4 linked regions of the Diceros bicornis minor genome follow. The protein of the gene in region 1 interacts with the protein of each later gene in a pairwise test. Links are inferred from orthologs where the notes say so. Each region holds a gene or a part of one and is shown on either strand. Other genes may lie near its edges. The genes, in order: FHL3, HIPK1, KIRREL2 and SLC25A46.

Region 1 (7,945 bases):
GCCTACTTCTCCGGAAATACGCCCTCTAGCAAAGGCGGCCACCACCGGCTGCTTCTGGGAAGTGTAGTTCCCTAGGTCTAGTCTCGTGACTTTACAAGAACCGGGTCTTATTCGTCAGAGCTTGCCCACGTATTGAGACCTCGCCTTCGCGCTCGGCTGCGCGTTGGCACCTGGGCACACGTGGCTGGCGCTGCTGTTAGGCTGAGCTGGGGGTTGGTTTGTGCGCATGCGCAGTCACCTACGACACTGCCCTTGCCGCGTTGACGAGGCGCCTTTAAACCTAAGAGCCATGAGAATTTTACAGTGTACCAGAAAGCACTCTGTGGAGAGGCAAGAGACCTTGAAACCATATCTGGCTCTACCACTTGCTGGCTGTGTGACTTTTGACAGGTCACTTGACTTTCATGAGCATCGTTTTTCTCATCCATAAAAAGAGGATAATAGCATGCACTGCTTGCCTCATAGGGCCATCAACGGGCCCCACAGTTGAATGGAAGAGTCATATCATGACTTAACATCTGTGAAGTTATAAACTTCTGTCCCTCACACCCTCAAGGGAATGGCTGACTGACAGACTGAGTGTCAGAGACAGTATAATGTAATGATTAGGACCAAGAAACATGGAGGTGTGTTACCATCCTAACTGCTACCAGCCAAGGCAGTGAGCTTTGCTGAGCCTCGGTCTCCCCATCTGTAAAATGGAGGTAATGATAATACTATACCCACAGGATTGTTGTGAGGACTAAATGAAATAATATATTTAAAGTGCCTAATGCTGCGTTCACCCCTTAGCAAGTTCACAATCAATTGGAGCTATTATTTTTTTTATTACTAAACCTACCTCTAAGGATAGAGAGAAGGTTGAGCACAGAAGAGCATTCCAGAGGCATTTGGTTTCTTTTCCACCACGTGAAACTAACCTTCAGCAAGTTCTGCAGTTGCACCCATTTCCTATGATAGGGCCCAAAACTCCAGCTGAGGAGCTCTGGGGAAATTCTCTCCTCATTCCCCAGAGGTGCCAGTCCAGGAGACAAGTAGGCACAAAAGTAGCTGAGATCTGCCATGTAAAAAGTTTTTTCCAGGGGCCGGCCCCGTGGCTTAGTGGTTGGGTGCGTGCGCTCTGCTGCTGGCGGCCCGGGTTCGGATCCCAGGCGCGCACTGACACACTGCTTCTCCGGCCATGGTGAGGCTGGCTCCCACATACAGCAACTAGAAGGATGTGCAGCTATGACATAGAGCTATCTACTGGGGCTTTGGGGGAAAAAATAAATAAATAAAATTATTAAAAAAAAAAAAAGTTTTTTCCAGCTTCTGAGTCTGAGCCCAGCCCGACTAGGGCCACGTGCATTAACAAAATTCCATCTCATTTGTCACTTAACCATTGAAAGATAAGACCTTTCATGATCTGGCCCATGCCCACCTTTCCAGCCTCATCTGGATTAAGAAGCCCAGCCATCAAGCAGGGTGACCAGGTGGCAGCCCCAGTCACTCTTGCCACTTTCCCTGAGGAAAGCATTGAGTGAGGGCATACCCAGGAGAAGGCAGCTCTGCACACTGGAGGGCGGAACGTTGGAGTCAGCCCTGGATTTAAATTGGACACCAACCACCTATCAGCTTGTGATTTGGGGCCACATTGTCAAACTCTCTGAGCCTGTGTCCTACTCTGTAAAATGGTGATAATAATGACCACCACCTCCTATGGCTTTTGTGAGGCCTAAAGGAGGTAAGAACTAGCACTTAGCACAGTGCCCTGCATGTAGTTGGCATTTAACCACATGTGAGTTCTCCTTCTACCCCCCACACTCATGCTGTAGAAGTCACTTATTTCATCCTCTGTGCCCACAAACTCATTGCCAGACTTGGGATCACGATGAAAGTGTTTCTGGGCAATCTGAACGTGGGAATCTGCTAAGCCATGAGGCCTGCAGGGGCTCTAGGCAGCCCAACGGGTAAGAGTGAGCAATATACCCAGAGAAGGAAGGAAGTTTTCACACTGGAGGAAGGAGGGCTTGTGGTTACAAGCATCGGAGAGTGATTCAGCACCCAGAGGAAACCATGAGAGGCCTGTGAGTTGTCACCCAGGGCCTCCTTTTGAAAACTCTTTCGAGGTGAGAGAACAGTTGGAAGCCCCCTTCCACCACAAGCTAAGGAAGGGTGTATGGGGACCTCCTGGTGGGTGAAGGGATAATCAGATCCCACTTACTCAAGGCCAGTCATCCAGCACTTAGTCTTTGCTTCCAGCCCCGCCTCAGACACACCTGTTCCTGGAGAGGGGGGAGGAGTGACAGGGAACAGGAACAGGGAGTCCATGTGGCTGATCCCTAGACCTCTCTGGGGCACGTCCTCTGGGGTCAACGGAAATAGAGCAAGCAGGGAAATGTGAGCCCACTGGGGAGCTAAAGACACAGGCCCTGCCCTACACCAGTCTCCCTCCCCCACGCTGGGCCACATCAGAATTCTCCTAACTTTCTCTGGCCTCCAGACTCCAAGTGCAATAGCAGAAGCTTAACACTTGACCCTGAAAGGGGGGAGGTAGGGAGGGAGAGTCCCACGTGTTGAATACCTACTGTGTGCTCTCATCAGTCCTCACAAGAATGCTGGGAGACAGGAGTCCACCACCCTTTTTTTTTTTTTAATTATAATTGTCCTCACTTCTGTTCACTTTGATTATTTTCTTTCTTTTTTTTTTTTTTTTCCTGCTAAAGAAGATTCGCCATGAGCTAACATCTGTTGCCGATCTTCCTCTTTTTGTATGTGGGTCGCCATCACAGCACGGCCACTGACAGATGAGTGGTGTTAAGTCCACACCCAGGAACCGAACCCGGGCCGCAGAAGTGGAGTGTGCCGAACTTAACCACTAGGCCACCAGGGCTGGCCCAAGGGGTCAACCACTCTTAACAGATGAGGAGACTGAAGGTTAAAGAGGTGAACTGACTACAGAGGCTGTAGAGCATAATGGTTAAGCTCTTTTTTTGGCCTAAGGAGCTTTGACATTTGTTTGTCTGGATTTGAATCTAGGCTTTGCCATTATTAGCTGTCACCCTTGGCCGTTACTTACTCTCTGTGCGCCTCCATTTTCTCATCCTTAAAATGGGGATTAAAAATACATATTTCATAAAGTCATTGGATAATCAAGTGCATTAATATATGTAAAGTGCTTAGACAGGGACTGGTGCAAAGTAAGAATTCAGGAAATAATTGGCTCTTACTAAGGCTGTTCAGCAAATTTAAGCTGTGAGTAAAAACCAGAGACCCTAACTCTACTTTGGTCCAGCACCTTCCTTGCTCACTCATAACCCCTCTCTTTCTGAAGGCTGCTCACCTTTGCCCTCCCCTCGCCCCAGAGCGGACCCCTTCTTGCCATCTACTCCCACCAGAGTCTTCCCTGCGCTTCCCAGGGCTAGGAGCTCACAGGATGGCTGCTCACTCCCTGGACTCCAGATAGTGGGTGCCTGTGGTCCAAACTGGGGGGTGGGGGTCCAAACTAAAGTAGTGCCTGCTATTCATTCATTCATCAGATATTTGTTATGTACCAGACATTGGAGTAGGTACTGGACATGTGGTGGTGAACAGGAAGGACCCAGTCGCTGCCCTCATGGCACTTACAGTTTAGGGAGCTGCAACAACCATTATAAACAAGCAGTTAGTTACTTTGAAAGGAAACTTGGCCTCTAGGGTGACTTTGGACCTGGGAAGGCAGCATGTGATTCAGAGATGGGAGGAGGGTGCTCAGGAGTTCCAGCCTGGGATGGACTGACACTCTGCTCTGAGAGCGTGGCTAGACCCAGTCTGGGGGATGGGAGAGCCTCTGTGGGCCCCTGAATCTCTACTCTAGACTCAGAGGTTATTTCCAGGGTTAGTTTGTTTTGCAAACAGCACAGTAGAGCCTCCTCCTACACCCCCCCCCCCCCCCCCCCCCCCCCCCCGCTTCCAGATCGAGGCTATTTATTCCTAGTGACAAGCCTGAGGATCCCAAGGGGGCTGGCCTCAAGGACCTGGAGGGGGCCTGTGTCCCTGGCAGGCGCCAGTCCTCCCTCCCAGGCACGGGGAGGAAGCCAGAGGGTTGGAAAATGTAGAGGTGGGGGAGGAGGGGTTCCCTCCACTTCCCTCCACCACCCCTGCAACACCCCATCCATACACACACACACTCCTCACACCCCTCCCTAAGAAGCCCAAAAATCATGGGGCCAAGGATTAGGGTGTCCCCTGGGCCTTAAAGGTCAAAACTATTCCTGGGCACAGTGGAAATGAGGCAGGACTTCTCTGTCCAAGGATGCAGCTGGAGGTGAGGAGGTGGTTACTTCTGTTTGCCACTCAGAATTGTAGAATAAAGCCCTTTGAAGGTCAAGGCCCTATGGGAGGGAGAGGGGTCCTCTCTTCACTCTGTGTTTCCAGAGAACACCTTGGTCCCCATGACAGGGCCATGACAGTAGAGTCAAAACCACCCCCTCCTCCAGGCTGGATAAGGCCTCCTTTACAAACTCGGGCTGAGTGTGACCCCTGGGGGTAGAATGGGGGGGTGGGGGCACGAAGAGGGCATGAGGACCCTCTGTTCTCAAATAGACCTTGGTCGGCTGGGTCCTGTACCCCTTGCCTGAAACGAATACAGCAGTCTCCCGCTTGCAGCTGTGGGGGGAAGGGGGAGAGGGGAGGGAGAGAGGACGGCAAAAGCTGCAGGGAGGGAACAGGGGCGGGGTCCTGGCCGCCCAGGAAGGTTGGGAGAGCCAGGTTAGGCTGGGCTGGAGCGGGGAGGCTGGGGCGGGCTCCAGTCTAAACGGGAGGTGGGGGCGGGGGCTGGCCCCCGGCCTCCGGGATGGGGGGCCGGGGGCGGGGTCCGCACCCTGAGGGCAGGGGCGGCCGGGGGCGGGGTCCGGGCGGGGCGGGCTCCCGCGCTCACTTCCTCGGGGAGGGGTTGGGGCCGGGCTCCCAGTCGCCCACACAGTCCGTGTGCAGCCTGCAGCCTCGCCGGCAGCTCGTCCGGCCCCCGCTTGGCCCGGCCCGCAGGTAGGAGCCGCCCAGGGACGCGGCCCCGGGGTCCCCGCCCCACCCGCGCGAGCGCCTCGCCCCGCTCCTGCCGCCCGCGTCGAGGTGAGCTCCCCGCCGACCCCGGCTCCGAATCCCAGCGCCCGGCCCCCGCCCTCGGGCCGGGGAGGGAGTGGCGGCGGCCCCCGCCCGCTGCCCCCCGCCCGGGGCCGGCCGCGGGCGCCGGGATCACGCTGAGCCCCAGAGGGCGCCCCCCGGACCGCACCGCTGCCCGTCGCCCGGCGGGGCGGGGGCTGCTTCGAGAGTGGGGCGGAGGAGGGGGCCAAGTTTGAAATGGAAAAGCCAGAGTCGAGAGAGAGTCTGGGAGGGTTCGAGAAACTGAGGCTCCCAGAAAGCCCAGAGGAGCGAGAACCCGAGACAGGGAAAGAAGGGACGACAGGCTTCGAGTGGTAGCTGCAGAGATACCCGAAAACGGGGACAGAAACTTGGCCGTACACTCCCCAAGAGACAGACCGAGGCATAGGGACGGACCCAGGTTTTGTGGAGCATTTTAAGAAAAAGCATACAGTGACGCCAGTGAACACGTCCTAGGATGCTTCCCAGGGCCTTCGAGGGTCCTGGGCAAGTGAGGGGCCCTGAAGCCTAAGCTTCCTTAGCCTCGTGGTGAATCAGGCTCTGTGAGGCCTTTGGAGACATTCAGAGACTGGAGACAGACTCTCGGGCATAGAGATGCTGTTGAGTGGTAGAGAAGGGGGGTGGGGTGGGGACCAAGACATTCCGCCCCATAGAGACACTGAGAGGCAGACTTGGGTGTTCAGAGGTAGAAATCCAGAGGTGGGCTGTTGGGAGATAGCCAGTCAGAGGTACAGAGACACCCACAGCGTAGAGACATCTGCTGAAGTGTGCAGGATACAGAGACGTGCTGAGGACCAGAGCTAGACTCAAAAGACAGAGGTTAATGGAGGCGCACTGACAGCTTCCAAGACAGACCCTGAGATGAGGGCTGTGGAGGCAAGGATGTGGGGAAACGGAAACTCTGGGCCCACTGAGTCCCCATGAGGAGAGGACCTGAGACAGTAAGATTGCAGTCAAGGAGGAGCCCCACGTGTGTACCAAGACAACCCCAACTTATTTTTAAACTCAAATCTTGGACGTGCTGCTTCAGCCCTGGGAGACCTGGGGTGAATGAACTGTTCCTCTCCTGTCCCCAGAGCAGCTGCTGGATCCTGCTTCCCATCCCCCTTCCCCTAAACTGCTCCAAATCCCAGGCCCCATGGGGGGAGGGGAGGGGAGAGTGGAGAGTTTGGGGTTGGTGCCTGGTGGCAGGGGATGGGGGGGGGGATTTGGATTTCTCCCCTGAAGTCTCCTGTCGACTCCTGGGACCTGGGGGAGGGGTCTGTTCTGATCCTGACTCACAGCTGTGGGGCCTGGCCAGGGTCCTCCTGGACAGTGGGAAGTGGAGGGGGGCAAAAGGGTTGAGCAGTTGGCATGGGTAATTGGAAAGGCTTCTGGGTGTCTTCCAATCGCAGGGCTGGCAGCTGGGGAGAAGAGCCAGGCTCCTGTGCTAGTGATGTCACCCAACATCTCCTTTCCCCCTGCTCTTAAATGGTGACCACCCCCTCCACCACCACTGCAGCATTTCTAGGGAAAGAGAGACAGGAAAGGACTCCAGGCTGGGAAGCAGGGGACCTGGGCTCTCTGATATCTGCGTGACCTTGGGCATGCCCCTGCCCTGTCCCTAGCTTCTGTGCTCAGCTGTACAATGGAGATAATATACTGTCCTGCCGGCCTTTTGTGAGATCTGATGAGACGGTGGGTGGGAATGCACTTTCTGAGAGGCAAAGCAGCATGCAGGTGTGTACACCTGTGTACCTGTGTGAGGGGCCTCACAGTTATGCTCACTGAAGTCAGGCTGGCCCATCTGGTCTCAGCGAACCCCATGGCCTGGGCCTCTTCAGTACCCCCAGCAGAACTAGGGGGTTCCCTCTTTGTTCTCTCCCTGGGCCTACACTGAGAATGTCCATGTCAAATGCCAGGGCAGCTCCCTGACCCAGGCCTGGCTGAGAAACTGTTGTCTGACCCCAATATGAATGAGGGGCTGATAGTAAAAACACTAATAGCTACTATTTACTGACAACTTACTATCTGCCAAGCGCTTTCCAAGTATTATCTCATTTAAGCCTGACAACTACCTTAGGAGGTAGTATTAGATGGGAAAATAGGCTCAGAGAGCTTAAGTGATTTGCCCAAGATCGCCCAGCTTTATATTTACCAGCTTGAGCGTCTACACACCACATGCCCACAGCCATTTATCCCACTAGTCTGAGCTCTAGGAGGTGCCAAATGTGTGTGTCTAAGTCAGGTGTAGGAGTGTGTGTGTGTGTGTGTGTTGGTGGGGGCAGGGGCTGGGAGCCATCTGGCAGACTGAGCAGTCTCCCCTCACCCCACCACCAGCCATGAAGGAATACAAGACTGGCTCCCTCCAGTCCCCCAGCCTTGCCAGGGATAGGGGGAGGGGCGGGGGATGGGCAGAGACAGGTGGGCCTTGATAGTGCCCTTCACTCTGTCCTCACTAGAGCCCAGCTGGACAGACTAGGGGGACTAGGGGATTCTGGGAAGGAAACAAGCCACGCCCATACCCTATTTGGGGTGCCCCTGTCCCAGAGTGGTGACTGCCTCCCAGGGGGCGGACCCAGGGCTAGCCTGGGCCTGGGAAGGTGGCGGCTGCTTTGAGCCAAGCCAGGAAGGAAGGAAAAGGCCCAGGGCACTCCTGGATGGACACATGGCCACACTCCACCTGTGCGGCCCCCTGCTGCCCAGTGGCTGACAGCCCAGGCAATCCTTAGATGTTGGGCCAGAGGAAACCCCGGGCCTGAGTGGCAGGGAGCGGACTGAGAAGGAGGGGTACCCTCCACCTTACAGCATAGCCGCCACCCCCAGAAGTCCCTGCACTGAAGACCCC
Region 2 (7,992 bases), on another chromosome or scaffold:
CAATAGCTCTCTCAGATTTATTTGGAATGACAAATCCATAGCAACAAAACAAGAGAAAAGGAGGTGCTTTTTGTGTTTGGTAAAAAGGTACTATCTTAGTATGTGCACACGACAGTCTATGAGGTCTAAAAAGGTTAGAATAAAGAAAACCATACCCTGAGGAGTTCTAGCACAAAAAAAATGTCACATTAACAACACACAAATCAATATAAAACATAAACACTGAGAGAGACCTCTGTTTAGATCAGCCAGCAAAGGACTAAGGAAAACAAGACTTAAGTAAGGTAACAACAATTAGGCATATGGAAGGTGGAAGAAGTTCTTTCAGATGAGTGAGATAACTTTTCCCAGCATGCCAGGGGAAGTGGAAAAATGAAAAACTGTTCAGATTAAGAAGATGTATTTGCTTGGAGCAGAAGACACTGGCAAAAAAGTACAGAGATTGTTATAGCTAAAACGGACCTTAAAAGACTCTCCAAAACTCCCTAATTCCAAGATGAGAAAAAGGAGACCCAAGAAAGCCAAACAAGTTTTATACAGAGCTAATGAGTGGCGATGCTGGCAAAGAATTCAGGTCTTCTGATTCTCTTCCGTTAAGCTCTCTGGGGACAGCACTATACCAGGTGCCCTTAAAGAACCCAAAAGAAATAGGCATAAGTTTCCCTATCTTCAGAGAGCTTACAATGTTGCTCAAGTGATATGACACGCAAGAAAAAAATATAAAAACAGGATGTAAATTTTTTTTTTAGTGCCAAATTATGCTCTACAAAAATACATAAGGCATTTAGGGAGCTGAGAGATTAGAAACAAAAACCAAAAAAGGAACCAAAGAGCAAATCAGTAATTGCTGAAGTGGTACCTGAAGGAAAAATGATTTTCATGGCTTGTGTTCAGAATGGCCTGAAATCTAAGGGAAGCAACTTGGAGGAATTAATAACTGTAACTCAAAAAAAAAAAAAAATCCTAAAAAAAGTACGGATTGCTTTATATAGTTATGAAAATGAAAATAAAAGAGTAGATCAGGAAGTTCATGTTTGCAAAATTACTTCGAATTACAAAAGGACCAGTTACAATATACAACTAACAACAAGTTGCACAAGTTCTAAGTGTAAGAAGTTTACAAGGCAGGCTCACTGATTTCTACCAACAACAACCACTGACTGAGCTGTGCAGATGAAAACAAAACCACGAATGAAAGAATTCTATTTTCCAGAGAATTTTGAGATTATCTTCTTTTTCTTTTAGGAAAAAAATCAATTTGCTCTACAATCTACCAATCAATTTGCTCTACAAACCATAAAACTACAACGTCCAAAGATATATAAAGTATTCATAAACATATCACCAGCAAAAGTCCTACTTACCAACCAGAGCCAGTATGTTTACAAAATCTCATTCACCGTTTTACCTCTCAGATGCTTTACTGGCTTGGCTGCCTCCAGTTCCAACCACAAGTACTTTACCAAAATATCCTTCAAGCCAGGCACAGTATCTTAAAGTCAATGATAGACTTCATCATACCAGTATTATAACACAGAACCCTGAGATAATTACATGTAAAGATCCAAAATCACCAGCTGAATAACAACTATTAGGTAAAAGGACTTGTTAGATTTTTTAAATGTTTTACAGAAGGCTTTAGACCTATATATGAAAAAAAGCTGGTAATAATTTGCATTCTCTATAATCTTTAAAAAAAACAACAACACTACAGACCAGGAATCAAAAATAGCTTTACACAAACAAGAGCAAAATTGTAGGTTTTGCTGAGGGCATCAGCAACTTAATTTAACCCCACTTCATCAGGAGCAGGAAGCCACGCTGCTGTTTTCATCCGAGTTACTAGGAAACAAGATAAAGGATAGACTGGGCAGAAGAGTCTATGGTTGAAATGAACAGTTTGATGCAATTACTGAAAATTCCCAAAGTGTCACTAAGAAAAAGCATCTAGGGCTGCCTCAAAAGGAGTTTCTCTACAACTGAGTCAGTGGTTTAAGTGGAGAAAAGACATATTGGAGCTTGGGGTTGTTTTTTCCCTTCTCTAGTCCCTCCTCCCTTCCCCCACCTAAACAGGAAAGAAAGCGCGCCCAGCATAAACACAGGCCAATGCTCACGGTTTGTCACCACAACAAACGGGAGGTTAAACCAGAGCTCCGAGGTCTTGGTTGCTAGGCACAAAAAAGGGCCTCTTTCTCACAGATCCGTGAACAGTGCAGGCCTTACCCAAGAGTTTTGGTTGTTTCCTCACCTTTTTTCTTTTTTTTTTAACGAAAGCTTTGGGAAAGTGGCGACAGACAGCAAAAGTTTCCCCCCAAGCCAGACCTCTAGATGTGCCTTGCACAGATATACATTAGGTGGGCTGGTCCCATGGAGTCTCCACCATTACAAATTACAAACCACGATTACAGAGCGTTCGCGGAGAGAATAGGAAAGCTCCCACACCCACCCCACCACCTCCGTCCTTTCCAGACACCGCTTCCTGGTCCCAAACAGCACAGATCACCCAAAACCATGGTGATAAGCAGAGCTGTGAAATACACACGCACAAGCCACACATTGAGACCCTGCCACGACAGCCGGGAAAAAAACCGGCCGGATGAGGAGACGCAAGGCGGCCTCCTGTCATTTGAGGACAACAACACGCCCAGGAGAGAAGTGGCAGGAGACAGGGGGAGTTGCCCCGAAAACGAGCCCGGAGCCTCCCTGGTTTTCCTGGGAACGCAATCCCCTCGGCGGCCGTGAGGGGCCGGGCCGCAGGAGGCGGCGCCGGGTCCGGATGGGGGCCAGCTGAGGGAAGCGCCCCCCGCAGGCCGGGCCGGTCCGGCCCCGCCTCGGGGAGCGGATAGGAGGTCGCTCCCTGCCGAGACCCCTTCCCGCCCGTCCCCACTCACCGCCGGTGTGTCTGGTTCTCAGCCGCGAGCTGGGGCTGCCGTGAGGAGGCGGCGGAGGAGACGAGATCCTGGGCCCCGCCGCCGGGTCATCATACCCCCCGCACGAGCCGGCCCGGGCCCCGGCCCCCGCCCCCCGGAGCCGTCCCCGCGCCCGTCCCGCGGGGGGAGCCCCCTCAGCCTCCCGCCCGCTCCGCCGCCCGGCCTCTTGCCGCCGCCGCCGCCTCAGCCCCGCGCGCTCCCGCCTCGGCCTCCCGCTGCCGCCCGGGGCCACCTCCGGGCCCCTCGCTCCGCAGCCGCCGTTGTCGCCAGACCCGATGAGCTGAGCGCCGAGCGGCCGCCCCCATCCGGCCGGCCCCGCCTCGCGGGAACTCTTCACCCGCCCCGCGCCATGACACCTACTGAGGCGGAAGTGCCGAGGAGCGGACGGATGAGAACTACCGCATAGTACTGGTGGGAGTGGGAGTGGGAGTGGGGGTGAGCGTGGGGGTGGGGATGGGGGTCCCTCCGTGGGGAGCCAGCCTGGACCGAGTGCGGGGGCGAGATTCCCCGACCCCTCCGCGCGGCAGACTCCGCGGTGATTTAAAGGTGCTTGGTGGCGGTAGGGGGTCCAGCCAGTGTGACATCACCACAGTCTGGTGTGACACCCCCAGAGATTGGGCAGCGCGCGAGGAGGCAGTGCCTACCTGGGAAGCCCCCCTACTGGTTGAGGAATTACCTCAGTTTAGGCTTTAATGTTTCGTTGCCATGTCGAGACGTTCTAGCAGAGTGACATCCGTGTATGGGATCTGTAAGCCTCCAAGAACATAAGTGCCCCTTAGTGGCTCACCCATTGCTGCCTTGGAAACCTGTGTTTGCATTAAGAGGTGAGAAAGAGTAGCTGTGCTCTGAACCCAACCCCTCAAAACATGCAGTGAGCAAATGCTACCATAATTTTCTTGACTCCACCAGGAGATAGTAAGGCTGGATATTCAGGAAATGGAATGCATTGGGCACATAACATTCTGAAAAAAAGTGGACACTGCGTGACAACTAGATTACCCTACTAAAAGGACAGTTGCCATCTCCCAAGGTCAAGAGATTCTGTAGGACTTCAGATATACCTCCTGCGGTGTAAAATGTTCTAATTCCTAAAGTGGGGGACATTTTTAGGGAGACAGGTGGTATAATCTATCTATTTTTTCTATCCCACAAGTGCTGGAGGCAGCAATGATCTGAGCCCTAAAAGTGACTGTCCAGCACCATAGGTTTTTGCATGTACTCTTTGAGGAGGGGGGGCAGATGTGGCTGAGACAAGATTCTGATATCAAACTGTATTTCTCAGATCTCATTCATTATACATCCTTGACCTCTGGATCCCCATCTCCTCACAAAAAGGTAATTTTTGTAAAGATGTGCTGAAGTGGTTGTACTACCTTTGGGTTTCTCGCCTGGCTTAGCAACACTGGGAGCAGTTCTATTTTATTGGGCACAGGGAAGTTTATTTCCCTAGAGGACTAGGGTTAGCAAAAGTGTTCAATCCCACAGGGTAGTTTTGTTTATTTTCACAAAAACTTAGCGAACACAGAGACCTACATCGGGGTGACCTGGGAAACATCAAGACATATAGAGTGGGCCAGTAGGCCTGTGTGGGGAGCCAGGAAAAAGGCAGAACTTGAGTTCTGGGGTAGAACAGATCCTGCTCCAAAAGCAGACTTGAAACACACACATCGCTTCCCATGCCTTGGTTCAACCTAACTCCATGACATGCTGCTAAGCTTCTACTTGTCCAAATTATCTTTCTTTCCTCTTTTCAAATACATCTCAAAATTCACCTTTAGGGAGCCTTTCCTGATTGACCCCCACTTTACTGTAATTGTTCAGTTCTGCGTCACCATCTGACTACTTAATTTACTTATTTGTACCTTATTTATTTATACTTGTTGATCTCTGTTTTCATTGTTCTTAGGTCATTTCCTCAGTCTATCTCACCACAAGACTTCTTAAAATCCAGTAGTTTCCTCTCTCTGATATCATTCATTTGTCATCCAACAAACTACTTGTGTGCCTGCTCTACACCAGGCACTCTCCTAGACACTGGGTGAGATGCAAGATGAAAAAGACTTGGTCTTTTCGCTCAGAGAGCTTACAGTCTAGTGAGGAGTAAAAAGCATGGGGACATATATAAGATTTGAATGACGGAGTCAGGGAACACATTCAGAGAAGGCACTATTTGAGCGTGGTATGGTCAAAGAAGTTTCAGAGTTTAATGTAGCTGGAGTTCATTTGTCCATTCAGCAAATATCTATTGAGTATCTTCTGTGTGCCAGGCACTATATTAGAAGTTAAAGATACAAAGAAGAAAAGGCATGGTCCATCCCCTGAAAGAGCTTACAGTTCAGCAGAGAAGTGGCAGGATATGGAATTCATAAAGTAGATTGAGTTAGATTTTTGAAAGGCAATGAAGAGCTATTAGAGGTTTGATCCGACAGGTATTATGAGGGAATCTATGCTTAAAGAGAGATCTGGTGGCAGCAGGGAGGTGGATAGCTGGCTAGAGTGGGTGAAGACTAGAGAAAGAGAGCCTAACTAGGAAACTATGATGAGGGTTTGATCCAGCAGGGAACACGGAGAGAGGGAGGCAGATATGTGAACTATCTCCTCCCAGACAAAGTCAGAGCAGCTGGAGAGGGGGATGGAGCTGTTGCTAGTTGGAAGCATTGAAGTCTCATCTAGGGTATGACATCCCCCTAGGGCCTAGAGCCTAGATTCATTGTTGCAGACAAGAAGTGACTTGCTCAGGAGCTGCAGTACTTAAGGCCAAGGAGGAGAAGCTCACCAAAGGCTGTGTCTTGAGAGAGGCTGAGTCACAAACCTAGGCAAACCATCCAAACAAGCAGTGAATCCAAGGGGCCAGGAGGAAAAAGAGAATTCAGGTAGAAGCCAACAGTTGTAAAACTGGGAAAACCACATGAGAGTGAAGATTTGAAGTAAAGGATAGGAGGCAGAACATGGAAAAATCCTTTGAACCTATAAGAAGGAATCCTCAATGATTCTTTTAATCTAGGCTCCAAAAAACTTTTTATTTGGAAATAATTTCAAATGTATAGAAAAGTTGCAAGAATAATAAAAAGGGCACCCATATACCCTTCACTCAGATTCACTTATTAGCATTTTGCCCCTTTTGTTTTAATATTTGCATTCTCATATAGGTAGACAGATAACACATACATACACACACATTTTTTTCTGGCCATTTGAAAGTAAATTGCATACATCATGACCCTTATCCCTTAATATTTGAATGTGTTAAGAATAAGTACCTTCTGTTACATACACAATATACACAATTATCAATTCCAGGAAACTTAACATTGATATAATACTTTGATCTACCATTTACATTCCAAATTTTGTCAATTAATCCAATAATGTTCTTCTTACCATTTTTTTCCCTTCCAGTACAAGATCCAGTTTAGGATCATATTTTGCACTTAATTGTCATATCTCTTTAGTCTCATTTAATCTGAAACAGTTCTTTAGCTTTTCTGGATATTTTTAAGAATACTGTCTTTGCTATTTTTAAAAATACAGTCATGTACGACATAACATTTTGGTCAACAACAGACGGCATATATGACGGTGGTCCTGTAAGATTAGTACCGTATAGCCTAGGTGTGTAGTAGGCTATACCATCTAGGTTTGTGTAAGTATCCTCTATGGTGTTCATACAACGACGAAATCTCCTAAAGATGCATTTCTCAGTATGTATCCCTGTTAACGAGGGCATGACTGTACAGGCCCTTTTTTTTTTTTAAATAATAGAATGTTCATCATTTGATGTTTGTCATTTATGTTTGTCTCATGTTTATTCATTATTAGATTCAGGTTATCCATTTCTAGCCAGAATACTACAAAAGTGATGTTGTGTCCTTCTCAGGATATCATACCCAAAGTCAGATGATGTGTGTGTCTCTCACTGGGTGATAATAATTTTGAACACCTTGTTGAGGCGTCTGACTTCTCCACAGTATATTTTATTATTTTTTTCCTTGTAATAAGCAATCTGTTTGGAGACACCTTAGACCATGCAAATATCCTGCTCCTCATTAGACATGTCCCCCTAGATTTAGCATCTATTGATGATTCTTGCCTGTACCAATCCTCCCTTATCTCTTATTAATTAATAAATTAATTTAGTTATCTAGTTATTAGTGATACAGACTCATGGATTACTATGTTTTTCAATGGTTTATAATTCCTTACTTTCTTTAATTATTTGGGTGCTGAAATTTTCCAGGTTTAGTCAGTGCCTTTTCAAGTTCCTCTTTTTTTTTTGGCATGTCCCCATAATAAGATGTTTCAGACTCATTTTGTAGTTTCCCTCCCCCAGTCCTAGAATAGCCATTTCTCTGAGGAGTCCTGGTTCCTTTTATGAGGAATTATATTAGAAAACAAGATCTGGAAACCAGGCCCACAATGATTTCTTATAGGATGCTTGTGGCCTTGGCTGTGAATGCCAACCCCGAATGGACAATTTCCCTTCTCGTCCCTTCCCCCAAGGTTGCAAGACTGAGGTGTCCCTAGGATTTTTCTTTCCAAGACTCCTTTAGGGTATCTTTAGCAAAGAAAGCTTGGGTAGGAGACTGTGGCAGACATTGTTCATTGCCTGTTCAATGACTAGTAAGGATTAGCTAACTGCTATGGCAAACAACCTCCACATCTCAATGGCTTAACACAATTAAGTTTTCTTGCTTGTCCACATTGTCAGACTATTGTAGGTGCTAGAGCTAAGTACCAGGGATGAGAGGGTTGCTCTGCTCAATGAGGTCATTCAGGGATTCAGGCGTCTTCCATCTAGATTCTTGCAGCTTCACCATTCCTTAGAGCCTTGGATTTCTCCACTGGATGCTTTGCATCTGGCCAGAAATAAAGGAAAGAAGAAATATGGATGATGGGTGTGGGAAGTTTTTATAGGCCAGGCCTGGAGGTAGCAAACACATACATCTCTTCTGCACACATTATGTTGGTGGGAACTCAGGAACATGGATGCTGCTAACTGCAGAGAGGTTAGGAGATGATGTAATCTAGCTGTGTTCCCAAGAGGAAAAGAGATATGATTTAG
Region 3 (7,875 bases), on another chromosome or scaffold:
ATCCTTAGTCCACTGAACCAGCCCCCAGTATGCGCCCAGGGCACAGGGCAGCCGGGCCTCGTCCCCCAGCAGTACCACCAGGTCGTTCGGCTGTTGCAGGAAGTGGGGTGACCCGCCTAGGAGAATGGGGGGCAGCACAGCTGAGCTTAGCACATTCACGAGATCCCTCATTCAGGACCCGGGAGTCTGGTCCCCAGCCCCCTCTTCCCTCAGACCCGGAAGCCCAGGCTCCCAGAGTTCTCCTCCCTCAGCGCCATGCACCCCAGTAGAGCGGCAGCTGGAAACAATCCTCCCCCATATTTACTCGCCCCCCACCCCCGGCCCCGTGCGGTACCTGCACGCCCTCTGAGGCAGAAAAAGAGGAGGAGGGCGGGAACCAGCATCCTGAGTATATGGCCCCCAAGATGCAGCGGACTTTTTGCACTGGCTTCCCTGCCAACTCCTTCCTTGGCAGCACACCTCCCACCTCTCGGCCTTGAGCCCCCTTCGCGCCCGACTCTTCGCCCCAGGCTAGAGGCACCCCGTCTGTGGCCTGAAGTTTCCGAAGTCAGCTCCGCCGCAGGCTCTGAGGCGCTGAAGCGCCGGCCAGTCCCGCGCGCCGGGTCTGGGAGAGACCCCGGGAGGGCCGGGTCCCGCTCGCCCCGCCCCGGCCCGCCCCGCCCCCGGGAGACCCGCCGTCTTCCCATTGAGAAGCTCCCGCGGCCGCGGCGCGGATGAATGGGGGCATGCAGGGCGGGGTGCCCCCGGCGTGCCGGCGCCCCAGCCCAACTGGGGTCTGGGAGCCGGAACACCTGGGTCGAAGGAGGGGGTCCCGGCTGGGTTGGACACCTGCATCCTGCCGGGGTTGGGGGGGCCAGGGGTGAGGAGGAGGGAGGGCAGGGAGTGGAAGAAACTTGCTCAGCCCCGGGCCTGGAGGGACAGCGCTGAGTGGAAACGGAGCTATAAATGGGAGCTCCTGGGGCCTCGCTAGTTTCCGCGCGCTGGAGAGGCGGAGCCTGGGGCTCCCCTGGGCCTGCGGGTCAGGAAGAGGGCACCAGGGGGCTTGGGGGGCAGCTGGGACCCCCGAGAAGAGGGGGCGTTCAGCTCTCCCCGCCCCCAAACCCCTCCTCAAAATATCCCTCTGCCTGCCTTGTTACCGCTGCAAACTAAAGCACGTCCTAGGATCCAGGAATCCAGGCCCCCAGCCCCTCCTTTCGCAAGACCCTGCAGTCCGGGCTCAGCCCCTCGCCCCACTCGGCCGCGGTTGCCCGGCGACGGCTGGGCGGCGCGGTGCCGGGCTGGGGGCAGGCGCGGAGGCTGGGAACCGCGCAGCTTGTCCTGACGGCTGCTGCCGCCCAGCTGGGGCGTTCCCACGCTGCAGGCCTGCCGGTGCGCTGCGCAGCTGGCCAGGCAGGTGGGCGGGACCCCGAGCCCACTGAGCGGGAACTGGGGGCCTGGGACTCTGGGTCTGACCTTCCTGAGCCTGTAGGGACTGGGGGTGCACACTCAGGGTCTCCGTCATTCCTGAGCTCAGATTCTTGCGTCCCTAAATGGCAGGGGCTTGGACTCCCAGGATTCTAGACTGGGGTTTAGACCTCTCTTGACTGAGAAGCTAATGGCCTGAATTCCGAGTTTCTGACGAGCCGGGGACTCCACTAGGTCCCCTGCCTGTAGCAGGGTGCAATTGGGAGAGGAAGACAGGAGGTCAGAAAATCTGGTCTTAAGTCTTAGAGTTGGGTGGATTTAACCACCAGTCTCTCTCCCACCCCCACACAGGCCCGGGAGGATTTGAAAATCAGCAGACAGTGAACATCTGCCCTAAGTCCTGTGTGTATGGGGGGTAGGGTTGGAGGCCTGAACTCCTGGGTCTTCAGGGAGAAGGGGCTGCAGGCCTGGACTCCTGAGTCTGCTAGGGATGGGTCCTGGGGGCCCAGACTTCTAGGATTGTGGTCCTGAACTCCTGCTTTCTGTTTTGGGGATTCAGTGCCTGGATTTTGAAATAGGATGATGAGCTTGGGGCCAGGACTCCTGAATCTTGGGGAGGAAGTCAGGTAGTTAGGCTGTTTTTCCAGACACCTGACATCGCTTCCCCTTCCTGGCTCTCTGGAGCCACAGACATGGAGCCTGAAGTCCCAGGAGCATCCAGAGGATGAAAACAGCCAAGGTAGAGGGTGGAAGGTTTGTGCTAATTAAAGATCCCAGCAGCTGACAGCTCTACGCCCTGGCCTCGGGGGACACCATCTGGTGAGGGCCCCTACGACAGAACCTCCAGCTCTGCATCCAGCCCATTCCCCAGGAGGTGTGGGGGCAGTGGGAGAGGGAATGTGGGAGGAGGGGAAGGAGTCAATAATGGGAGGGGAGGAGAAAGACTAAAGGGAGCATCAAGGATGGAGCTGTGGGGGCTCAGGCCAGATGCCTCATCTTGTTCCTGGAGGAGGACCAGATGGGGGGTTGAGGGGGGAGAGAGAGAGAAAGCGAGCAGTTCCAATTCCTGCAGGAGATAAGCAGGCAGAAGAAGCTTATCCCCTGTGAGCGCGTATGTGCACACTGGGGTGGGGAAGGCAGGCCAACCAGCATATGGTTATCAAATTCAAAGACGTGACCATCAGAAGAGATGGAGTAACAAACAAAAGAAAGAGGCACAGTCAAAGGTTGACTGAGAACAACTATTGAACTTCTGGTGTGTGTGAGAGAGAGAGTATGGAGTGGGGGGGAGAGATAAAGATGAGAACAGAGACAGAAAGACGGAAAAACAGACACATAGAGGCAGATATAGAGACAGTGAAATGGTTAGAAGTTGGTGGAGATGAAAACACCTAGTGGAGAGAGAGAGAGGGAGAGAAAGACACTGAGACAGAGAGGAGAGTCTCAAAGAGACGGAGAAAGATAGAAAGATAAATCGAGATGGGTAGAGGGAGGAAGAGAGACAGAGACACAGAAGAGGAAAGAAGAGACAGGAGAGATGGAGGGAAGCTACAAGAAACGAACTCACCAGTTCTTGCCAAAGGGCTCCCACACTGGGCTCATCTCTATACCCAGAACTAGTGCTGGGGGTCTGGACCCTGCCTTTCACTCTGCCCCACTCTGACTGCCCTGCACCTGGCACACTTACTCCTTAGACACTCTTACACACTCACACACTCTGCACACCCTTTCACGGATCACAATTCACTCTCACCCTCCCCATGCTCACACACACGCTCACACACTCACATGCACTTTACACACACGTGCATACAGGTATCTGCACTCTCCCAGTCTCTCACACACACTCTTGCACACTCCCCAGCAGAGATCTCTGATGTCTCTAAGGGGCTGATGTCTACTCAGGGAAGGAAGGGACTTGCCAAGTCCATGTACCAGGGCAGGGAAGAGCCGGGGAGTCCTCCCCCATGCTGGGCCCAGCTCTCTGTCCCCCATGCTGAGCTGGGACCGCCTGGGTCTGACTGCTCCCCCTTGTCCCTGGCCCCGGCCAGGCCCTTGGGGTCGTGGGGGCTAGGGAGGCACCGAGGAATGTGCCTGGCATGTGCTGACAGTGGATTTCATGTTCCAGCTGGGCCGGGAGGAGCCTGCTGGGCAGATGCCTGGAGCTGGGGACTCGGGAGGGCGCCTGGGGGAGGGAGCAGTGAGAGATCAAGCCTGGTCCCAGAACAGGGCCCGACTCAGCCACTGACCATGTCGGCCTCGTCGCTCTCCTGGGCTCTGGGGTCTGCCCGACTCTGAGCAGCGGGTCCTCCCTGAGGGGCTGTGATGGTGAGAGGAGAGCAGGGGTGGGGGTGGCAGGAGAGAGGAAAGAGAAACAGAGACTGACAAGGAGGGAGACAGACACAGAGGGAGAGAGAGGGAGAGTGCCTTAGACAGGGAGAGAGAGAGAGAGAGAGAAAGACAGGGCGGGAGGTGGGAGAGTGGAGGGTACTTAGGGCAGGGAGAGAGAGATAGACAGACAGACAGAGGGAGAGAGGGAGAGAAGGAGAGAGACTCAGGGGAAGACAAAAACAGAGAGAGAGAAGAGACAGACGGAAAAAGAGAGAGCAAGAGAAAAGCGAGAGACAGAGACAGAGAGAGAGGGACCCAGAGACAGACAGAGGCAGACGCAGGAGGCAGGCAGTGGGCACTGTGGGGCCACAGGAAGAGGACCTGGGATGGCCCTGAGGATCCCCATCAGCGCTCCCCTGCTCCTCGTGGGGCTGCTGGCCACAGGTGAGTGGGATCCTGGCCTGTGACCGAGCGCCAAGTGGCCCTCATTTCCCACCTACGTTCTCCAGACAGACCCTCTGCCCTCTCTTGCTGACCCCACTGTGTCCCCAGGCCTGGCGCAGTTGCCAATCCCTGCCTCCACCCCCCGAGGCTTCTGGGTTCTGCCTGAAAACACGACGGTGGTGGAGGGGGCCGCTGCGGAGCTGCGGTGTGGGGTCAGCGCCCCTGGCAGTGCAGTGCAGTGGGCCAAAGACGGGCTGCTGCTCGGCCCCGATCGCAGAATCCCGGGCTTCCCGCGGTACCGCCTGGAAGGGGACCCCACTAGAGGTAAGGGGTCAGAGCGTGAGACCCTGGGCCACCAGCAGAGGCCGACCGCGGCCCCGAACCTTGGGTCCCCCCTGCAGGGGAATTCCACCTACGCATTGAAGCATGTGACCTCAGCGACGACGCAGAGTACGAGTGCCAGGTCGGCCGCTCAGAGACAGGCCCCGAGCTCGTGTCTCCTAGAGTGACTCTCTCTGTGCTAGGTATGGGTGAGAGCCCCCCAGGACCCATGAGTCTGGACCTCCAGCCCTCTCCTGCCCCAGGCTCCAGGAGTCCAAGCCCTCAGCCCTCCTTCCTCAGACCTGGGGTCCAGGACCCATTTCACGAGCAATAAGCCCCCAAACCCTCTCGAGGCGGCAGCTTAACCCAGACCCTTTCTCACCAGTGCCCCCCAAGGTGCTTCAGCTGACCCCCGAGGCAGGGAGCACGGTCACGTGGGTGGCTGGGCAGGAGTACGAGGTCAGCTGTGTGTCTGGGGATGCAAAGCCAGCACCCGACATCACTTTCCTCCGGAGTGAGTGTGGGTGAATTTGTGGGGCCAATGTGAAGCCCTGGAGTGGGTGGGAGGGGGTGTGTCTCTGCCCAGTGCCCTCCTAGGGGCCCCAGAATACATGACATTCCTGAGCTGGGGATGCAGGAGCAGGCTTGGGGAGATGCCGAGGTCAGTGTGGGACCTGGTGGATGGGAGGGGACATCCAGGGAGAAACACCCAGGAGACGGCAGGACTGCTGGTCTGGGGCTCAGGGGAGAGGCTGAGGCTCCAGACAGAGATATGGGTGTCATTGTTGGTGCAGAAACAAGGAGCTGAGGTGGTGATGGTGCGGGTGATACAACCCAGTAAGGAGGGGAGGGGAGGGAGAGGCCCAGGCCCCAGTCCCGAGGACTCCAGTGTTCAGGGAGGCCTGAGGGAGGCCTGAGGAGGCAGGAGGGAATGGAGTTAGTGCTTTTCCCCCAGAACCAGGAGGGAGCAGGCAGTGTGTTCACCCTGAGGACTTCAGGCCATGCTCCCCAAGATCTATGTTGGGGAGAACCTGGCACCCCTCCAACCTTCTTGTTGCCCAAAGGTGGACAAATAATTCCAGACATCTCTGCTAACGTGAATGCGGGGTCCCAGGAGAAACTCTTCACCACGGAGGCCACAGCCAGGTATGGGAGTCGGGGCGCCCTCTCCTCCATCCTGACCCACAAATTTCTCCATGAAAACCCCACATCCCAAGGATTCAAGCATGGAAACCTGGGTCAGGTATGAACAACTGGGACCCAGTTCTTCACCCTGACACTCCAAAACTTCTTTATGGGAACCTCAGTTCCAGGGTATCAAGCACAAAGATTTTGGCCAAGTGTGGGCCTCCAGGACCCCAGTTCTCACTGATGACCCCCTAATCTCTTCTATGGAACTCCAGATCCTAGAGGAAATCAGCAGGGAGATTTAGACCGGGCGTGGGGACCTGGGATCCCCATCTCTTCACCTTGTCTCCCTAAATTTCAGATGATGTGTCTGACTCCAGAACCCCAATTTCTCACCTAGGGTGACACCTCAGAGCTTGGATAATGGGCAGTTACTGGTCTGTGAGGGGTCCAGCCCAGCTTTGGACACCCCTATCAAGGTCTCAGTCACTATGAATGTTTTGTGTAAGTGGGAACTGAGTCAGCCGTGGGCACTGGGGATGCAGAGAAGAATTGGGGGAACTGGGGAGCACAGGGATTATGGAAGATTTGGGTTCTCATGGAGAAATGTGGGGGTTCAGAGGCAGGTTGTGGGGTCTGGAAAGAATGGATGGGCTCCCCAGGCCCACTGAGTGACTGTTGCTGCCCAGTCCCCCCAGGACCCCCTGTCATTGAGTGGCCAGGCCTGGATGAGGGGCATGTGCGGGCAGGGCAGACCTTGGAGCTGCTGTGCATGGCCCGAGGGGGCAATCCGCCAGCGACACTGCAGTGGCTGAAGGTGAGGGCAGAGACAGGTGTGGGGGTGGGGGGAAGGGCGGGGGCCAGGAGCTGGCCCTGAGCTGACCCAGGCCTGTCCTTGTCTCCAGAATGGCCAGCCCATGTCCACAGCGTGGGGCACGGAGCACGCTCACTCGGTGGCCCGCAGCTTGCTAGTGATGATCATACGGCCAGAAGACCACGGGGTGAGGCTCAGCTGTGAGGCCCACAACAGCGTATCTCCAGGGATCCAGGAACGTGGGGTTACACTACAGGTCACCTGTGAGTCCTGGTGCAGCTGCCCATCTGTCAGTCCATGCCCCGGAGAACCATATGTTTGTGGCCCCAAATCATGCTTGTCTGATGCCAAATACCTTGACATCTGTCCCCAGTCCCTCATCTGTCTGGGCTGGTCTGTGAGGAATCCAGCCCAGCTTGGCGTCTCTCCTCTGTCCATTATCTTGCAGTTCCCCCCAGCGCCATTACCATCCTGGGATCTGCATCCCAGTCTGAGAACAAGAACGTGACGCTCTCCTGCATCACCAAGTCCAGTCGCCCTCGGGTTCTCCTGCGATGGTGGCTGGGCTGGCGGCAACTGCTGACCACAGAGGAGACGGTCACGGACGTGAGGCGGGAGCCGAGCTCCTGGGTCTGAGGGAGGAGGGAGCTGAGGGCATGACTCCTGGATCTGGGAGAGGAGGGGTCTGTCATCCTGGATGCCTTGGTCCTTGGGGAGCATGGACTGGGGTCCGGGCCTCTTGGGTCTGACATGGAGGGATGGAGATGCTTCATATGTCCCTGCTGTGGTCTGGGGTGGACCCAGACCTTTGGTACCATGGATAGGGGTGCCCTAGTCCCCAAGTCTGAAGCTGGCTCCCTGCCAGGGCCTGCATGGTGGCCACATCTCCATGTCCAACCTGACATTCCTGGTGCGACGAGAGGACAATGGTCTGACCCTTACATGTGAGGCCTTCAGTGAGGCCTTTACCAAGGAGACCTTCAAGAAGTCGCTTGTTCTGAATGTGAAATGTGAGCCCTCACCCATGCCCAGGGGTGCCCATGCCTTAGAGACCACACCCTCAGGCCTGAGCCTAGAGAGAAAAGCCCCTCTTCCTGGCTCTCCCCACAGATCCTGCCCAGAAGCTGTGGATCGAGGGGCCGCCTGTGGGGCAGCGCCTCCGGGCTGGGACCCGGGTGAGGCTGGTGTGTTTGGCTATTGGAGGGAACCCAGACCCCTCCCTCACCTGGTTGAAGGTGGGTGTCAAGCAAGGGCTGTGGGGTCGCCAGGAAAGTGGGAAAGGATGAAACCTCTCTCTTGGGAAAGAGAGTCTTGGGAAATCTTGGAAAAACCTGAATTTCATGAAAAATACTGGAGATTTAGAGTTTAGGCAGGAAATTGGAAAAGACACAAACGCCATGAGAATTAAATGGAATCCTAGGAAAATTTTGGGA
Region 4 (7,445 bases), on another chromosome or scaffold:
AGGCGCAAATAAATAAAATCAGAAATGAAAGAGGAGAAATTACAGCGGACACCTCAGAAATACAAAAGATTGTAAGACAATACTATGAAAAGCTATATGCTAACAAATTGGACAATCTAGAAGAAATGGATAAGTTCTTAGAATCATACAACCTTCTAAAACTGAATCAAGAAGAAATAGAGAATTTGAATAGACCAATCAACAGTAAGGAGATCAAAACAGTAATCAAAAACCTCCCCAAAATAAAAGTTCAGGACCAAATGGCTTCCCTAGTGAATTATAACAAACATTCAAAGAAGACATAACAGCTATCCTTCTCAAACTCTTCCAAAAAAATTGAGGAAGAGGGGAAGTTTCCTAACTCATTTTACAAAGCCAACATTATCCTGATACCAAAACCAGACAAGGACAACACAAGAAAGAAAATTATAGGCCAATATCACTGAACATCTATGCAAAAATCCTCAACAAAATACTAGCAAATCAAATAGAACAATACATTAAAAAGATCATACACTATGGTCAAATGTGATTTATTCCAGGGATGCAGGGATGGTTCAACATCCACAAATCAATCAACACAATACACCACATTAACAAAATGAAGAATAAAAATCACATGATCATCTCAATAGATGCAGAAAAAACATTTGACAAGTGACAGCATCCATTTATGATAAAAACTCTGAATAAAATGGGTATAGAAGGAAAGTACCTCAACATGATAAAGGCCATATATGACAAACCCACAGCTAATATCATTCTCAATGGAGAAAAACTGAAAGTTATCCCTCTGAGAACAGGAACTGGAGAAGGATGCCCACTTTCCCCACTATTATTTAACATAGTATTAGAAGTTCTAGTCAGAGCAATCAGGCAAGAAAAAGAAATAAAAGGGATCCAAATTGTAAAAGAAGAAGTGAAGCTGTCACTATTTGAAGATGATACAAGTTTATATATAGAAATCCCTAAAGAATCCACCAAGAAACTTTCAGAAATAATAAATGAATAAGGTACAGTTGCAGGACACAAAATCAACATATAAAAATCAGTTGCGTTTCTAGACAATAACAACGAAGTAGCAGAAAGAGAAATTAAGAATACAATCCCAGTTACAATTGCAACAAAAAGAATAAAATACCTAGGAACAAACTTAACCAAAGAGGTGAAAGACATGTACACTGAAAACTATAAAACATTGTTGAAGGAAATTGAAGAAGACACAAAGAAATGGAAAGATATTCCATGCTCTTGGATTGGAAGAATTAACATAGTTAAAATGTCCATACTTCCTAAAGCAATCTACAAATTCAATGCAATCCCTATCAAAGTTCCAACAGCATTTTTCACAGAAATAGAACAAAGAATCCTAAAATTTATATGAAACAACAAAAGACCCTGAATAGTCAAAGGAATCCTGAGAAAAAAGAACAAAGCTGGAGGTATCACACTCCCTGATTTCAAAATATACTACAAAGCTATAGTACAAAACAGCATGGTAGTGGCACAATTACAGACACACAGATCAATGGAACAGAATTAAGATCCCAGAAATAAACCCATACATCTATGGACATCTAATTTTCGACAAGGAAGCCAAGAACATACAATGGAGAAAGGAAAGTCTCTTCAATAAATGGTGTTGGAAAAACTGGACAACCACATGCAAAAGAATGAAAGTAGATCACACACAAAAATTAACACAAAATGGATTAAAGACTTGAATGTAAGACCTGAAACCATGAAACTTCTACAAGAAAACACAGGCAGTGTGCTTTTCGACATCAGTCTTAGCAGCATATTTTCAAATACCATGCCTGACCAGGCAAGGGAAACAATAGAAAAAATAAACAAATGGGACTACATCAAACTAAAAAGCTTCTGCACAGCAAAGGAAACCATCAACAAAACGAAAAGACAACCTAACAATTGGGAGAAGATATTTGCAACCATATGTCTGATAAGGGGTTATTATCTAAAATATATAAAGAACTCATACATCTCAACAACAAAAAAACTAACAACCCAACTAAAAAATGGGCAAAAGATCTGAACAGACCTTCTCCAAATTAGATATACAGATAGCCAACAGGCACATGAAAAGATGTTCAACATCATTAAATACCAAGGAAATGCAAATCAAAACTACAATGAGATATCACCTCACGCCCGTCTTAATGGTTATAATTAACAAGACAGGAAATAACAAGTGTTGGAGAGGATGTAGAGAAGAGGGAACTCTTATACATTGCTGGTGGGAGTGCACTGGTGCAGCCACTGTGGAAAACAGTAGGGAGATTCCTCAAAAAATTAAGAATAGAACTACCATATGATCCAGCTATTCCACTGCTGGGTATTTATCCAAAGAACGTGAAAACACCAATGTGTAAAGATACATGCACCCCCGTGTTCATTGCAGTATTATTCACAATAGTCAAGACTTGGAAGCAACCTAGATGCCCATCAAGGGATGAATGGGTAAACAAGAGGTCGTATATCTACACAATGGAATACTACTCAGCCATAACAAGGATGAAATCTGGTCATTTGTGACAACATGGATGGACCTTGAGGGTATTAGGCTCAGTGAAATAAGTCAGAGGGAGAAAGTCAAATACCATATGATCTCACTCATAAATAGAAGATATAAACAACAAACAATCATATAGAGAAAAATATTGGATTGGTGGTTACCAGTGGGGAAGGGGGAGAGAGGAGGGCAAAAGGGATGTTTAGGCACAGGTGTGCGGTGATGGATTGTAATGAGTCTTTTAGTGGTGAACATGATGTAATTTACACAGAAATTGGAATATAATGATGTACACCTGATATTTATATAATGTTATAAACCAATGTTACTGCAATAAAAGAAAAAAGAAAAAAAAGAGAAAGTTTTCCAATCCACTATTTGAAAAATATTCACCTATTATTTTCTGCCAATATTCAATCTTCAAAAAAACAAAGAAAAAATACAATATATTACCGTTGGAATTTATTGGGAGTAAGTTGTGAGGGGGCCAGTTATTGTTTCTTCCCCTCAACTGGCTACCCAGTTGTCCTCCTTTTAATAATTCATCGTTTCTCCACTGATGTGGATGTGACATTGTGAGATGCCATTGTTTTTATGTTAAAAGTACACACATACACACACACACAGTCACACAGAGGCTTTTTTCTCCTTCTCCTTTTAATAACAATTAGTTTTGAACCTCAGCCAATCCCATCCTTCAGCCAATCATTCCTAAGGAACAGAGAAATATTTATTGTCACGCCAAGTAACTGATTTTAGTTACCCAGTAATTTGGTATTAGTACTCGAGTAATACTGGAAACACTTATTAAGGGAGAAATTCAATACATTTGCCCAAGCCACATCAGAACCCAATTTGAAAATGTCAATCTACTCAAGACGAAGTTGATTATCACTTTGAATAAGCATTCGCGTCTGGAAGACTGAGAAGAGTGCGTCAGGCATCAGGATTCTCTTCTGAAAGCCCTCGGAATCCTGGGCTTTCGGTGGGGAAGAAAGGACACAGGAAGAACCCATGATAGGCTCGATCAGATCTCGGGTGAGCGGCTCTGCCCGAAGAGCCCATGGAGCTGACGCAAACAGGTAGTAGGGGACTCTCTTCAGGAGTCCTCTTAATTTTTCAGCTAGGGTCTCCATTTTGAACGATATCGCTTGGGATTTAAATATCCTGAGTGATTTAGATGCACCAGACAGAAAACTACACAAAACTATTTATAGTTGTTTTGTGGCCTTAGAAAAGCAAAATGCTTAGTTCCTAAATCCCGGCGGGTACTTTTTATTCGTGGGGGGAGCGCGGGAACTGAGGGGAAGAGGGGCGCTTTTCTCCCCGACGTTTTCTAACGCTTGCTCTAGCCACCCATAGCACCTTTGCGTTCACTGGGCCGCACCAGATCTCTCAATAGATTTTACCCAAAACACTAAGTGCGGGAGGCAAAGTCAGATGGAGCCAACACCCCGCACCTCTAACCTCTAATAGCTCCCTTGTGGTAGGAGAGGCACTAGCCAGCCCAGCGAGGAAACAGAAGACCCGGGTCTGGGGCCTTTGTGTGGGGCGGGGCATCTCTGGCTGAGATCTCAGCGAGTCAGCTCCAGCGACGCGTTATCTCCCTCAATGAAACATCATTATTCGACCTCCTCTCATCCAGGCCGCACCTCCCACCCCAGTTCCCTTTTGGCATCTCTTTGGTAATGTGTTCCATTAACTCTGCAGCCATCGTCCACCTCCTCCCTCACGGCGACAGTTTTCAGATTTGGCCCTAGGTTACCGCCACGTCTCCCTAGCAACCGTGTCGCTAATGGCCACCGGAAGAAACCTCGATCACGTGCTCCGTGGACGTCCGGGTTTGCAACGTGACTTCCGGTTGTCAATTTCCCCGGAGGCGGCGGCGGCGGCGGCTGCAGCGGCGGTGGAGGAGAAGCTGCGTGGCCCGAGGTCGCCGTGGCCCCAGTGGCGGTTGGCTCCGGGTGGGCTCGCGTCATCCTGCCCCGTGTGCGATGCATCCGCGGCGCCCGGACGGATTCGATGGCTTGGGCTATCGGGGTGGTGCCCGGGATGAGCAGGGCTTTGGGGGCGCTTTCCCTGCAAGGTCCTACAGCACCGCCTCGGACCTGAGCCACTGGGTGACCACTCCCCCAGACATCCCGGGGAGCCGCAACCTGCACTGGGGCGAGAAGAGCCCGCCCTACGGCGTGCCCGCCCCCTCCACCCCGCTCGAGGACCCCGCCGAGGAACCGCTTCCCGGCAGCGGCGGCGTGCCGGGCCAGAGCAGCGGTGAGGGACGCGGCGGGCAAGGCAGGGGTGGGTGGGGTGGCGGAGCGGCGGCCTGCGGACCCCGGAAGCCGCGCCGAGGGTCCCGCCTCCGCTGCCTCTCGGCCTATCGCGCGCCACACCCTCTGCCCTCCTTTCGTCCTCTGCGCCTGAGCGGGCCTCCGCCCTCTTCCTCTCACACATGTTCCCTCCGGGATCACCTCCAAAAAAGACACCTGCCTTAGCTTCGGGTGCGTGGTAGGAATTTCGAAGGGTTTTGGAGTATGACATCCCATGACCCGAATCAAGAAAGAAGAAAATTGGGTTATTTACTGCTTATTGGGAATCTGTGAACAATACCTAATTCACTGACAGTTCTATTTCCTTGATTTAATTAATTGTATCTTTGTGTTCTGGTAAGGGAAGTTTTTCAGCATAGGCAGGCTTGGGCTCAATTGCAATTAATTTCTTTCTATAGATCCCAAAAAGAGTACTGGAAAGTTATAAATTAAACAATTCAAAATGCATATATGATTGCTACAGAGTTATCTTCTTTGGCAGTAAAGCTGATGTTTTTATCTTTTCATAATTTATGCTTTGATGGTTATAATGAGGAGCTCTTAATAAAACATCGGGTTTTGTTTTTTGTTTTTTTTTTTACGGCAGTTTAGTTAATGTAAGTTTGCAAGGAAGATAGAAGCCTGAGAGACTTATACAGTTAACAATAGTAAACTTTCCTAACGTTCCAGAAAATATCAGTTGATATTTTCTGTTAATATTAGGGGATGGTGTGTACACACAAAAAGAGAAAAACTGAAAGGAGGAAAGTATCTTTATTGGGCAAAAGAAGCTTCTATCTAACTTGGATATTTTTCAAGGCAAGAGGGAACGGATGGTTTCCCCAGAGACATGTTTACCTGGCCTTGTTCTGACTGTAAGGGAATAGCGAGGACATGGCTTCATTTGAAAGAGTAGAGATGAGAGAGAGCAGAGATGGGAGAAGGGAGTGAGAAAAGAGAGGGAGAGAGAAAAATTATCCCTTGTGAATATTGTATTATAGCTGAAATTTAATGTCTAGTCCCCTGGGGTTGTGATATTTCACCATTGTGATTTTGGGTTTTTTAGTCAAGGAGAAAATTTTTTTTCCTGTTTTGACATGTGCATAGGAATGTTTCCAGCTGTAAACTTTACTAATAGGACTATAGAAATGCCATCAGGAGTAGCACATTGGTACCCAGTAGCCTATCACAGAGATCTAATTAAGCAACTGCTCTCAAAATATCTAAAACTTGGGGAGATAGAGAAGAAGAGGGCTTTATTTACCCATTTTTTGGTTACCGTAAGTATTCTTTCAGTTTAATAATTTTGAGGTGTTTTACTTGTGACTATTGGTTTCACATAGATGTTCTCCACGAGTCACAGTGAATGACTAATTTTACAACATGGAAGGTAAAGTTGGTATAAGTATCTGTCAAAGCCTTCTACAGAAAAAATGTTAAGTCGTTTGTAGTCAGAAGTTGAAAACTGATAGCCCTTAGATTCTACCTACAGACATGTTGATTTGGCCCACACAATGTTTTAATGCTTTTTAAAATAGTTGCCAGTATTTTAAAATTGGAAGATACTATATAAAAATATGAATATCTTTTTTAGAAAAATCACAGCTTAGAAACCCTGGGCCCACAGTCCCGCGTGGCAACAATGAATTGGAGCTGAAGAGCAATTGTGCCTTTAGAAAAAAGTCTCTACCTTGCAACTTGCCACAAGCCCCTACAGAGCCCTTGACTCATTCAAAGCACCTCCCTGGCCCCCATCAGAATTTGACTTTGGGACCTGGAGTTTAAATGGATATCATGTTAATAAAAGAAAATATTTTTTGTTGTTTTTACAGTAAACCTAAGTATTGGTTATAAGTAATCTTATTCCTTCTATTTTAGAACAGTTGAATAGATTTGCTGGATTTGGAATTGGACTTGCAAGGTAATATTTTATCTAAAGATTTTTAATTTAAGTTTTTATTTAAAGTTTTCTCTTTAATGTAATTGATAATATTAAATGATTAGTATTGCTTCTTTAGATTGAGTCTTTAGAGCAGTAGATTAAATATTGAATAATATTTTGCAGAAAAAATTGTTTAAAACCTATAACTTTTTTCAGTAAGGATAGAGAATAGTCATTCAATTTTATAATCACAAAATAATTTTGTAAGGAATATTGTAAGAATTTTCATGTGTCTAGCCAAAGAATAAAATAAAATCTAATCTTATCTCCCTCTCCAAAAAAAGTAATTGTGCATTGAACCTTTTCCGTAAGCATTCGAATTATAATAAGATATTTAGCAACATAGAATCTGGATTTCACTTACAATCAGCATTTAATGAACACCATTTTTGATTAATGATCATTTTGTATAAGAAAATCTTCCAGTTTTGATTTTGTGATCTTTAGTGAATACTGTTTCAAAAACGTTGGAATTGCACAAAGGCTTAGATTTCCTGTCAGAATAGCTCATTGTTTTACACATTTTAATCAAGAAAAAATGACCTTATTTGCATAATTAAACCTGAGATGTTAATGTCAATAGAAACAAAATTTGTGTATTAAAGTTTTCCTTTTGCTAGAGTTAATTTTTCTTTAGCCTCACTGTTTATACTTAAGCTATCGTTCA

What was found.
Region 2: the proteins of FHL3 (region 1) and HIPK1 interact in binary tests that used the Homo sapiens proteins (3 or more experiments, as listed by UniProt). The two-hybrid records come from large-scale screens. The link is inferred for Diceros bicornis minor from reciprocal best matches to the Homo sapiens genes FHL3 and HIPK1.
Region 3: the proteins of FHL3 (region 1) and KIRREL2 interact in binary tests that used the Homo sapiens proteins (3 or more experiments, as listed by UniProt). The two-hybrid records come from large-scale screens. The link is inferred for Diceros bicornis minor from reciprocal best matches to the Homo sapiens genes FHL3 and KIRREL2.
Region 4: the proteins of FHL3 (region 1) and SLC25A46 interact in binary tests that used the Homo sapiens proteins (3 or more experiments, as listed by UniProt). The two-hybrid records come from large-scale screens. The link is inferred for Diceros bicornis minor from reciprocal best matches to the Homo sapiens genes FHL3 and SLC25A46.

Annotation. Positions count from the first base shown.
Region 1 is NC_080752.1:51,939,262-51,947,206, reverse strand, and holds the start of FHL3 (four and a half LIM domains protein 3), read left to right. Parts: upstream 1-4,932; 5' UTR 4,933-5,004; intron 5,005-5,011; exon of another isoform or gene 5,012-5,088; intron 5,089-7,945. UniProt on the Homo sapiens protein: Recruited by SOX15 to FOXK1 promoters where it acts as a transcriptional coactivator of FOXK1.
Region 2 is NC_080743.1:46,662,881-46,670,872, reverse strand, and holds the start of HIPK1 (homeodomain-interacting protein kinase 1), read right to left. Parts: upstream 3,011-7,992; 5' UTR 2,892-3,010; intron 1-2,891.
Region 3 is NC_080773.1:8,745,039-8,752,913, forward strand, and holds the start of KIRREL2 (kin of IRRE-like protein 2), read right to left. Parts: upstream 3,007-7,875; coding exon 2,972-3,006; intron 1,463-2,971; coding exon 1,234-1,462; intron 792-1,233; coding exon 335-791; intron 117-334; coding exon 1-116. UniProt on the Homo sapiens protein: May regulate basal insulin secretion.
Region 4 is NC_080740.1:33,690,323-33,697,767, forward strand, and holds the start of SLC25A46 (mitochondrial outer membrane protein SLC25A46), read left to right. Parts: upstream 1-4,440; 5' UTR 4,441-4,524; coding exon 4,525-4,801; intron 4,802-4,888; exon of another isoform or gene 4,889-4,979; coding exon of another isoform or gene 4,980-5,028; intron 5,029-6,714; coding exon 6,715-6,757; intron 6,758-7,445. UniProt on the Homo sapiens protein: Transmembrane protein of the mitochondrial outer membrane that controls mitochondrial organization.